Mus musculus: one gene and its partners. The protein of the gene in region 2 interacts with the protein of the main gene of each other region in a pairwise test. Links are inferred from orthologs where the notes say so. Each region holds a gene or a part of one and is shown on either strand. Other genes may lie near its edges.

Evidence for each region.
Region 1: the proteins of Crx (region 2) and M1ap interact in binary tests that used the Homo sapiens proteins (3 or more experiments, as listed by UniProt). The two-hybrid records come from large-scale screens. The link is inferred for Mus musculus from reciprocal best matches to the Homo sapiens genes CRX and M1AP.
Region 3: the proteins of Crx (region 2) and Larp4 interact in binary tests that used the Homo sapiens proteins (3 or more experiments, as listed by UniProt). The two-hybrid records come from large-scale screens. The link is inferred for Mus musculus from reciprocal best matches to the Homo sapiens genes CRX and LARP4.

The regions. Positions count from the first base shown.
Region 1 is NC_000072.6:82,945,649-82,949,399, forward strand, and holds the start of M1ap (meiosis 1 arrest protein), read left to right. Parts: upstream 1-1,273; 5' UTR 1,274-1,304; intron 1,305-3,751. UniProt on the Homo sapiens protein: Required for meiosis I progression during spermatogenesis.
Region 2 is NC_000073.6:15,877,205-15,880,955, reverse strand, and holds the start of Crx (cone-rod homeobox protein), read left to right. Parts: upstream 1-1,000; 5' UTR 1,001-1,140; intron 1,141-3,751. UniProt on the Homo sapiens protein: Transcription factor that binds and transactivates the sequence 5'-TAATC[CA]-3' which is found upstream of several photoreceptor-specific genes, including the opsin genes.
Region 3 is NC_000081.6:100,007,188-100,010,838, forward strand, and holds part of Larp4 (la-related protein 4), read left to right. Parts: intron 1-419; coding exon 420-541; intron 542-3,104; coding exon 3,105-3,273; intron 3,274-3,651. UniProt on the Homo sapiens protein: RNA binding protein that binds to the poly-A tract of mRNA molecules. Associates with the 40S ribosomal subunit and with polysomes. Plays a role in the regulation of mRNA translation.

The DNA of each region.
Region 1 (3,751 bases), on a different chromosome or scaffold from region 2:
AGAGGAAGAATTTGTTTTGCATCAATCTCTAGGAGGAAGAGAGAGAAGAAAAGGGAGAGTAGGAGAGAGGGAGGGAGCAAAGAGGGAGCGAGAAAGGGAGGAAGGGAAGGAGAGGGAGGGAGGGAGGGAGGGAGGGAGAGAGGGAAGGGAAGGGAAGAGAAGAGGGAAAAGGAAAGTAAAAGAAAATACGTTTTAAGCCAGGTTGTGGTGCTCACACTTGTAATCACAATATTCAGGAGGGTCGAGACAGGAGGATTACTTGAGCAACATGAGTTTCACTTGCAGAGGATCCAGCGCCCTCTTCTGGCCTCTTCAGGCACTGCGCACTCAGCACACAGACATGCAATTAGGTAAAAACACTCATACTCGTACAATAACACTAAATAAACATTTAAAAGACAAAAACAAAAGAAACGAAGCAATGAGGCCATCTTTTTTTAACCTCAAAAACTTTTCATAGACAGACTCTAAATCTGTCCCTTGTAACTCATTAAAATCTTTTTATATCAGCCTCCCACCTAGAATATCTGCTTAATAGTATTTTCCTTAATTATTTCATGAAAGATTAAGAGAAGTAAAAATAATTCTAGTATTCCTACAGTCCAAATTGAGACATACATTACTTTAACAAATACATTAGCAATGCATTAACAAATGCCATTGGATCAGGCATGGTGGCATGCACCTGTAAGACCAAAAAACAGAGACACTGTAAAAAAAAAAAAAAAAAAAGGCAATTTTCTTTTACGAGGGGACAGGGGACACGATGGCCATTGTTTGTGCACTTCCATACCCAAATCATAGCTTACTGCATGGTACAGCTCACCACCAGGGTTACTGAGTAAGAGTTGGCCAACTGAAGAAAGTTGTGGACAGGAAAAGTTAAAGGCAAGAACACAGTAGATCTTGTGTTTGATGGGGGGGGGGGGGTACGAAGAGAAAGTTATCTTCACTATGTTTTTCTGAAATCTACAACTGCTCATGGACCCTAGAGGACTATTCTCAGGACACCCTAGAACTTGAGCGACAACTCCAGGAATGAAGCTGAGTGATTCCCGAGGTCCGGAGCTCGCGGGTGAGGGGCCTTGTGCAGTGAGATGGCCTGATGCCTCACACCCTGGGGCCACAAGCGGCACCAAAGTGATGTCTGAACTTGAGGAGCCTGAGGGGAAGAAGGCCCAGGCGGCGGGAGACTCAGTGGGAGGAGCCTCTGGGAGGGGCGGTGCTACAAGGGGAGGTCCCTATAAGAGAGGAACTCTGAGGCTGAGCCAGCGGAAGGAAGGCGTGCAGGTGCTGAGCTTGAGGTGAGTGAAGGGAACTTCTGAGACGGAGTGGTGGGTGCGCTGAGGGTGCTACCTGAAGAGGGACTCCAGAGAAAGGTGCCCGAAGTGGGGACTCTCTTCAGCAGGTACCTGAGAAAAAATTCGCCTGAGGGAGTTACCAGAACTCGGGGTTGACGGGTTGCCCCAGAAAGAGACTCCTGAAGGAACATGAAGGGAAGGTCTGAGGGGGGACACCAACCGGGTGTCTGGAGGCGTACCTTCCAATTGAAAAATAGTTGCCTAAGTGAGCGACTTAGGTTCTAGGCTGGAGCTTTGGAGCACTAGAGCGTTGCTTTTGTTTGCTGGGGAAGGGGTAACCAAGCAGGAAAGCCTGAGGGACTTGCCCTGGGGAAGGCATCTGAGGTGGACTCTTGAGGGAGCGGAGCCTGAGGTGACCATATCTGAGGGGCAGTGCCTGAAGGAGTTCTCTTGAGTAATCTCCTGAGGAGTTCCCTCGAGAGGCCGTGCCCGAGGTGAGCTTTCCCAGAGATGGCGCTCTCTCTAGGACCAGACAGCCTGACTGAATGGTAATAATGTTCAGTCTTCAGACCTCTGGGCTAAGGAAAGACTGAAGGGCTTGGGAGTCAGAATTGCGCCTCAGAGGTTGGTTTGAGAACACACCTTAGATCCGTGTATCTGGGCGGGTACGAAGGTGCAGCCCGAGAACTGCATCACCATCGCTGGGTCGGTGAAGTCCACTAGGGCTTGGTCGCTTGAGGGGTGACAGGACTAGAGAGGCCCAAGGCCTAAGACCCGCTCTGGCCAGAGCCCTCTGACTGACTGACAGAAGGAAGAATTAATTCATTCTCATTCTTTCATTCATTCATTCTTTCATTCATGCATGCATTCTTTCCCCCTCAATGTCGTGTGTGGGGGGAGGAGTCTGCCTGTCCCCCCCATCTCTGTCTCTGTCTCTCTAACTCTGTCTCTCTGTCCCTCTCTCTTCTCATCTGTCTATCTTTCTGTCTCTGGTCTGGAACTAAGGGTGATATCTCTGTTGGGGTTCAGGAATCACCACACAAAACATACAATCACTGATCTCAGTTAAGCAGAATAGTTTATGTGAGACATAGCTCAGAATTATCTGAAGTATAACAATGGACATCTTTGTCTGTTAGCTTATAAAGGGAAAAAACATGAAAACTATAATGAGTACAGGAAGTACTACCCAGTGGGCCAGCTCTGACTCAAGGTATTTTAGACATAACAACTCATAATTGACCTTTAACTTGATGGGTCCTAGGTGAAGCTTTGTAGAATTTCTTAAGATTAACAAACCACATAACATAACATAACATAACATAACATAACATAACATAACATAACATGGTATGTCATCAGCATGATCCTGTTCTGAGTCAAGTTATTCTTTTTCTTGTCAGTGGCTGGCAGGCATATTACAGCAATATGAAATAACTGTCAGGCATGGAACAAAATTGCTGCAGTTATGCTGGTGGAATCAGATCAGACCATAACAATTTCTGCCTCTGTCTTTCCAGAGCCAAGGTTACAGGTGTGACTCACTGAGCATGTTTTAACTTCTTCAGTAAGAAGGAAACAATGAGCTATGAAGGTCAAAGAAACTTTGCTTTTGTCTCCTCTCCCCCGAGGAAACCTTGACTTTTTAAAGACTCTTTTTAAAAACTATTAATTTATCTTTTTTTTAAAAAATGGAGGATAGTGTCCATGAAGGTAAAAATTCTTAAAACCCACAAAAAGTATGGTTTTGTTTGTGCTACTAGGATGGAATCTAGGACCTGCACATGCTAGACCAGTATTCCCCCACAGGACAACACCCTTCTGACAACACACATACACACACACACACACACACACACACACAGAGAGAGAGAGAGAGAGAGAGAGAGAGAGAGAGAGAGAGAGAGAGAGATTTTAATGGAACCCAACTCAAGGGAGAACAATTGAATCATTTACAGAACAGTAAACTGTCCTTAGAGGTATAAACACACAGCACAGATGTAAAGGAACCCAAATCTCGTGAGAAAATCTTAGAAAAGAAAGTATTCAAAGAGCTGGAACCTGAATGTGTTTGTGATGAAAGAAGCCTGAAGAGTGAGCAGCCCGCTGCAAGCTTCAAGCCTGGCTCAGGGATGGAAAACACAAAGACAAAACAAAAAGACAAAAACTTGAAGCCAGGATGAAGAGTTTTAGATTTTGATACAAGCATAGTTGAAGCCCATTGAGAGATTTTAGTACTAAAGTAACTTGTTTTAGGATGGTTCAAGTCCAGCTCTGGGGTTAAGCGCATTACATAGGAAAAAACATTCAGGGGATGTTCTTATAAAAGGAGAGTTTATGGGGTCCAAACACTTCAGATGCACTATTTGACTATGTCTGAGGAGAGGTATCTCTTACGTCACCTGAAACATAGCCTTCCAATTGTAGATTACTGTGAGATCTGAAAATGA
Region 2 (3,751 bases):
CTCTTCAGGCATCAGGCACTCACTGTGTGTGAACACGTGGGTGCAGGCACAATATCCATGTATGTATAATCAATAAACAAATCTAAACAAGAGAGACACAGAGAGAAAGAGTCAGACATACAGAGACACTCAGAGATAAAAAGACAGAGAGAAAGAGAGACAGGGAGGAAAAGAGCCAGAACCAGAGCTGCAGAGAGACAGCCAGAGACAGAGAGATAGCGGGAGACAGAGAGTAGAGGTAGAGTCCGACACAGATGGAGACTAACAGAGAGACAGAGAGACAGTGGGAGACAGAGAGTCTAACAGAGACACAGGCAGAGATTGACAGAGACATAGAAACTCAGGGAGAGGCATAGAGACAAAGACACAAAGAAACTCAGAGAGGCAGGGTCTGAAATAGTGATGAAGATAGAGAAGCAGAGACTAGAGGCAATGGAGAAGATACAGAGCAATGGGGAGACAGAGATATAGAGAGCCCTGAGGAAGTGAGGGAAGAAGGGAGAAAGACAGAGAGGCACAGAGAAAGAGAGAGAAACTGAGGCAGAAAAAGGGAGAACCATCAAGAACTACACATTTGAATTAGTTCACTCAGTGGGGTCACAGATCTCTCTTCCCAGTTATTCTAGCTGTGTCAGAAGACTTAAAAGTTCAATACTAGCCTGGGCCACAAAGAACAACCCAGGAAGTCCTGTGCCTTTCTTTTCTGTCTCCCAGGAGCACTGTACACTTCTTTCTGTGCTTTTGAAGACATTTCTTTTCAGATAGTAGCTGAAGCTGGAGGAATACCCTTTAGACCCAAGGAAAGACTTCCCTGAGAAGTGGGGGCTCCTGGTTGCAGGCAGGAGTTGGGCTTTCCCTCCCTTCTTCATCAACCCTAATTGCCAAGATGTCACTGTGGGGGTGGTGGGATTAAGCAGACGGTGCCCTTCCCCCAGCCAATGTCACCTCCTGTTGCCCAGTGAGTCCCCCACCTTCCCTGGGATTACCCTTCCAGATCCAGGCCACAATAGATGACATCACTCCCAGCCCAGGCTTAAAGTCGCCCCGTGTGAGGGGACCTATTTCCTCTAGCCTCTGCTGTCTGATGACACCATCCAGTACCTGAACATCCAGGAGAGTCCCCATTTCTCCTTTCCAAAGGTGAGTCTTTCCAGGAGAGGCTGCGAGAATATTTTATTCTCACCCATGTTTGACATGAAGATGGGTCTTGTGATGCTTTCTGAACAGATTAACATAGGGTAGAGATTCCAGCAGGTGTTCAGGGAAACAGGTCACTTAGGACCATGATAGGAGGGAGTAAAGTCATACCAGTTGGGGACTAGTTGTTGGGATCCAGGAGTGGCTTTAGGATGAATGGATTTTATACTCTGAGGACATTCAGAGGTGGAATGTCTCATCTAAGCACACATCCATGGTGTGTGAGCATGTTCATGTGTTTGTGTGTATGTATGTCTACAATGTGTGTGTGTGTCCATGTGAGAGAGCAACCTCGGAGGACAGAGATAGACATACTGGTTGTCTTCCTAAATACTTCCATTTGCTATTTTTTCCTAGACCTCTCTATGTAGACCAGGCTGGCCTTCATCTGATGGATCTTCCTGCCCCTGCCACCCAAGTACTTAAGGTTAAAGGTGTTCACCACCACACCCAGCCTATTTCAGACAAGGTCTTTCACTGAACCTGGATCTCCCTGTGGAGCAGAGGCTGGCTGGACAGTGAGCCCTGTGTATCTGTTTGTCCCTGTTCCCCCAATGCTGGGGTTATAGTGTGCCCAGCTTTTATCTGGGTGCTGGGGTTCTGAACTCAGATCCTCACGTATGCACAGACAGTGCTTTATCTGTTGAGTCTTCTCCCCATTCCCCCGAAAGAAACCTTTTACATTTAATTTATGTTTTTTGAGAGGGAGTCTTTTGGAGCATAGAGTGGTCTTGAACTTGTTCCGTAACAGAGGCTGGTCTTGAACTCCTGATCCCGTGTACTACTGCTCCCGCTTGTTTTTTTTTTTAACTCTTTGTGATTTTTCTTCTCTGTTTGTAAGGTATATATTCATTATATAAGTATACATGCATATATATTTAGTGTGTGTGTGTCTTCTGACTCCTTTGTTGAAGTCAGATGACAACTTGCTGGAGTCTGAGTCAGTTCTCTGCTTCCACCATGTTTGATTCTTAGGAATCAAACTCAGGGTTTTAGGCTTGGTGGCAAGTGTCTTTATGGTTGATCCCTCCTGTGGCCCCTGAGATTTCCTCTTCGTTTGTGTATATACCAATACATAGATCATCTCTCCCTGGAGAACGCTGGTTCTTTTCACTGCCTGGCACTTGGGTGCTATTTGACTGTTGACAGGATGGATCCCTGTCCTATTAGATTGTTTATTAGTTAAAACACGGGCTGGGGCTGTAGCTCAGTCAAAAGATAAGCGCTAACATGTTCTACACAGCTATTTGCTCACATACAAATGGGAAAAAAATTACACTTAACATTTTTCTCTTTTTTCAAAACTATTTATATTTTTATTCACTTTACATTTGGATCACAGCTCCTCTCCCTCCTGTCTTCCTCCTCACATATCCCTTCTCTCTTTTCTCCTCCCCCTTCTCCCTCAAGAAGGGGAGACTCCCTTGGATACCACCCCACTCTGGGACATTTCAGCAGTTCTAGGAACATCCTGACCCACTGAGCCTCATCCAGGGAGTCCAAACAGTGGGGAAGGGGATCCAATGGCAGGGAACAGAAACCGAGACAGCCCCTGTTCCACTTGATAGAAGAACCACACGAACACCAAGTTGCACATTTGCTACAGATGTGTGGGTCTAGGTCCAGCTCCTGCATTGAGCTGAACATTTTGAGGCCAATGTGGCTGCTAATTTCTGTTCAATGCCAGCTCAACATAGTAAACTGGAATTCTTTCTCTGAGGTCGAGAGCAGGGCTGATGGCTAATGTTTCTAAGGACGCAAGTTACAGACGTTGAGTTTTGAAGGAAAACACCAATATTACTGACATTTTTTTGTTTATTTTTTCCTCAATGGCTGAGGCAACTCTTGTAGTGTCTGTGGTCCAAAAAATTACAGAGACATGTAGCAGGACATAGTGGTATATGCCTTTAAATTCTAGCATTCGGAAGGTAGAGGCAGGCAGATCACTGTTGGTTTGAGGCCAGCCTGGCCTACAGAGTAATTTCTAGGCTAGCCAGGACTTCATAAACTTTATATCAAAGGGAAACCTTGTCTTTATAAAAATGTGGGAGTTGGCTGGCTCAGTGGTTAAGAGTACTGGCTGCTCTTCAGGGAGACCTGGATTCCCATTCCAAGCACCCACAGGGGGGCTCACAGCTGTTTGTAATTATGGTTCCAGGGCACCCAATACTGCTTTCTGGCTTCTTCTGATGGTACCAGGTGTGTTTGTGTTCATAGAAATACATGCAGACAAAACACTCATATACAAAAACACCAACACAAAGAGAGTAACAAAAAAAAAATCCCAGAAACAGCAAAGTTTGATATTACTGTTGCATCTGTCTGTCTATCTATCTATCTATCTATCTATCTATCTATCTATCTATCTATCTATCTATCTTTTAAAAAGATTTATTTATTTAATTTACTTTTATGGGTACACTGTAGCCGAACAGATGGGATTGAATTTTTAGGATCTCTGCTCCCCAGTTAACCCTGCTCTCTCTGGTCCAAAGATTTATTTATTATTATACATAACTACACTGTAGCTGTCTTCAGACATGTCAGAAGAAGG
Region 3 (3,651 bases), on a different chromosome or scaffold from region 2:
TTATTTTATGTGCGTTGGTGTTTTGACTGCATGTGTTTGTGTGAGAATGTTGGATACCCTGGAACTGGAATTACAGACAGTTGTGAGCTGGCATGTGGGTGCTGGAAATATAAATTTCATTGTTATTAGGGCATATTTTTATTTGTTTTGGATGGCATGAGTAGAACTGGTTGCTAGGTCATAGGATAATTGTGTTTAAGTGTTAAACCAGTTAAATCATTTTAACATTGCTACCTTTAGTTTCTTCCTGCCCCTGCCTTCTTAAACACTGGGATTTCAGGTGTGGTCCACTGTTTGCCGTGATTATGTCATGTCTTACAGTATAAAGCACTGTGGTGGCGTTGCTGGTGAGTGGTCACTGAGATACTTTAGTACTTAGTGTACGCTTATTAAAGTGACTGTTCTCTTTCAACCCTTAGGACAGCGAGGACGTGCGAGTTAGTTGCCCAGTGCCTGCAGAGGACGGACAGACAGACTGCACTTCTGCGCCGCTCAGCATAAGTCCTAGTCCTCCGTGTACAGCTGAGCCTCCTGTGTTAAGGTACATTTTCTCTTCTTTTCAAGAATAATAACACAACCTTTTTTTGTTTTGTTTTGTTTTTTTTTTTGGTTTTTCGAGACAGGGTTTCTCTGTGTAGCCCTGGCTGACCTGGAACTCACTTTGTAGACCAGGTTGGCCTCGAACTCAGAAATCCGCCTGCCTCTGCCTCCCAAGTGCTGGGACTAAAGGCGTGCGCCACCACCGCCCAGCTATAACACAACCTTTTATTTTCCTTTTTTTCTTTTTCTTTTTTTTTAAAAAGATTTATTTATTTATTATCTCTAAGTACACTGTAGCTGTCTTCAAACACACCAGAAGAGGGCATCAGATCTCACTATGGATGGTTGTGAGCCACCATGTGGTTGCTGGGATTTGAACTCAAGACCTTTGGAAGAGCAGTCAGTGCTCTTACCTGCTGAGCCATCTCTCCAGTCCAAACAACTTTTTCTTAAGCTGGTACTGCATCACTGAATTTTAGCCCTTGATAGACTGGGAGAAGAGGATTGCAAGCTGAGTCCAGTCTTGGCTGTCCAGGGAGACCCTTCTCAAGGAGTGGGGATCAAGCCAGTTTGATAGCTCAGCAGTTAAGAGCATTTACTGTTATTGCAAAAGAGCCATGTTTAGTTTCCAAGTACCCATGTCAGGCAATGCTCAACTGCCTATAACTCCAGCTCCAGGGAATTCCATAACCTTTTGGACTCATGTGGACATAAAAACACAAACCATTTACATAATTAAAATATAAATCTTGGGCTGGAGAGATGGCTCTGATTTATATTTTAAGTCCCGAGTTAAAATACCAGCAACCACATGGTGCCTCACAACCATCTGTAATGGAATCTGATGCCCTCTTCTGGTGTGTCTGAAGACAGCTACAGTGTACTCACATAAAATAAATAATTCTAAAAATAAATAAATAAATCTTTAAATTTGTCTATCAATCTATCTATCTTGGGCTTGAGAATTGGCTCATCAGTTAAGAACTCTTACTGATGCTGCAGAGAACTAGAGTTCAATTTCCAGGACACAGTGGCTCACAACAATTTTCATTGGGACTGGCCACACATGTGGTGCACACATAAAGACAAAAACCATACACATAAGAAAATAATAACGTAAATGACCAGAAATACAAACTTTAATCCCCAAACATGAAGGGTAGAGGCAGGTAGAAAAAAAGGAAAATAAAAGGTTGTGTTATAGCTGTGTGTGGTGGTGCACGCCTTTAGTCCCAGCACTTGGGAGGCAGAGGCAGGCGGATTTCTGAGTTTGAGGTCAGCCTGGTCTACATAGCAAGTTCCAATAATTTCTGCTGCTCCTACATAGTAAGATCCTTTCTCAAAAAACTAAATGTAAAATTTAGATAATAAAAGAGATGGGGAGAAGGGGGGGCCTCAACTTTGCAGAAAACAGTTAGGGCCTGCCCACAGCCAAGGGGGAAGCCCACTCTGTAGAGTACTGCAGAGGACTGTCCCCTCCTACTTAATGTCAGTGCCACTAAGCAGGAAACAGAAAACTCAGGGTGTGAAGACCTTACCAGCTACTAGCTAGCGTGCAAGGAAAGGGGACCATCCTGTGTCTTGGGAGCCAGGACACACAGGCAGGAGGCAGAGGCTCCTAGTTTAGTTAAGGACAGGAGGCTGAGGCCCAGGCTCAGGAAGAACAAAGGGGATTTTGGAGGTAGGCTTTTTTATCGAGTTAAAAAACAGGCACATTGTCCAACTTCTCCCTGTGGCCCCCAAGCTGCTGGCCCAGCCCCTGACACTATCCCTCTCCCTACAAAAGCAAAGGGACTAAGGATGGGGGCAGAAGATGGGAAGTTCTGAGGATAGGAAATGTCTGGGTGGCCAGAGAGCACCTGTGAGCAAGCCACCAAGCACAGGAAGGACAGGTTTGAAGCTGCTCGTCCCTTTGTGGGACAGGGCAGAGCCAGGAGGTGCCCGAGAACATTCTAGCTCAAGCACAGAACCCCATGTAGCATGACAGAGGACAGGGGACTGCTTTGGCAGGAGGCAAAGGGAAGCAGAACTAGGGTATGAAAAGGTCCTGGCAAGTGCCACTCAGCCAGCTCACTCCAGCTGCTTCCAGGAAAGGCCCAGCCTGGCTCATCTCTGGGGCAAAACCCTGGAATCCAAAGGGGGTTTGGGGGAAGAGGGGTGGGCAAGGCTTGAGACAAGTGAGCTGCTCTCATATTCCTTCTCAGAGGACCCCATTTGAGCCCTGTAATCACCAGGCCCAAGGCAGGCAGAGTGAATGCACTTCTTGGAGAGCAGAGAGAAGTTGGACCCACAGGTCAGCCCTGGAGCAGCACGCTGCTCTTTACTCCCTGAGGAGTAAGTTATATAGTATTCTTTGATTTCTTTAGTTTGATCATATCCTCCCTTTTCTCTGTTCCCAATTCTTCTGTTTTTATAATTCACTGAGTGCAGTAGACATGGGCTCTTCACTGGAGTTTGGATCCCATCCCCTCCCAGGGACACCACTGAGGGAAACTGACTCCTCACCCCATCACCCTCACAGCTCAATTAGACTAAGTCTAATACCAAACTTGTTTTTTCTTTAGCACGACTCAGCAAGAGCAGGATCAGATGGAGGACTCTGCTGTTCCAAAGGACACTCTCAACCCAGTAGCTGTGCCAGTGTCTTCTCCAACTGCCACAAAGCCATCCCCGGCAAACACGGCTTCACCTTGCACTAGTAACATAAACCCACCGAGAGCTGTGGCCCTGCAGGTAATGTGAAAAGTTTATATGGGAGAAAGTACACTAGTTTACACGATAACCCTTTTTTGTTTCTTTCCCCCTCTACCCCCTCTTTTCTATCTGTGCCACTTTCTTTCTCTCTCTCTCCCCTACCTACAAACTCACACCTTTTCCCCGTGTCAAGTTCCCTGGCCTCGGTCTTTGGGTCCAGCAAACTTGCCTGTCTAAGAGCAGCTTTCCAATAAACCCGTATTTAATAGAATCTTTTAAGAAAAAGAAAACTTTAAAAAGAAAAGAAAAAACAACATGGCACATTGTCATGTACACACAAGACATAGTATAAGTAACATAACATTTGAGAGCTCCAAATATGACTATAATTCTATTGCTTTAGAGGATAAGGAGGGA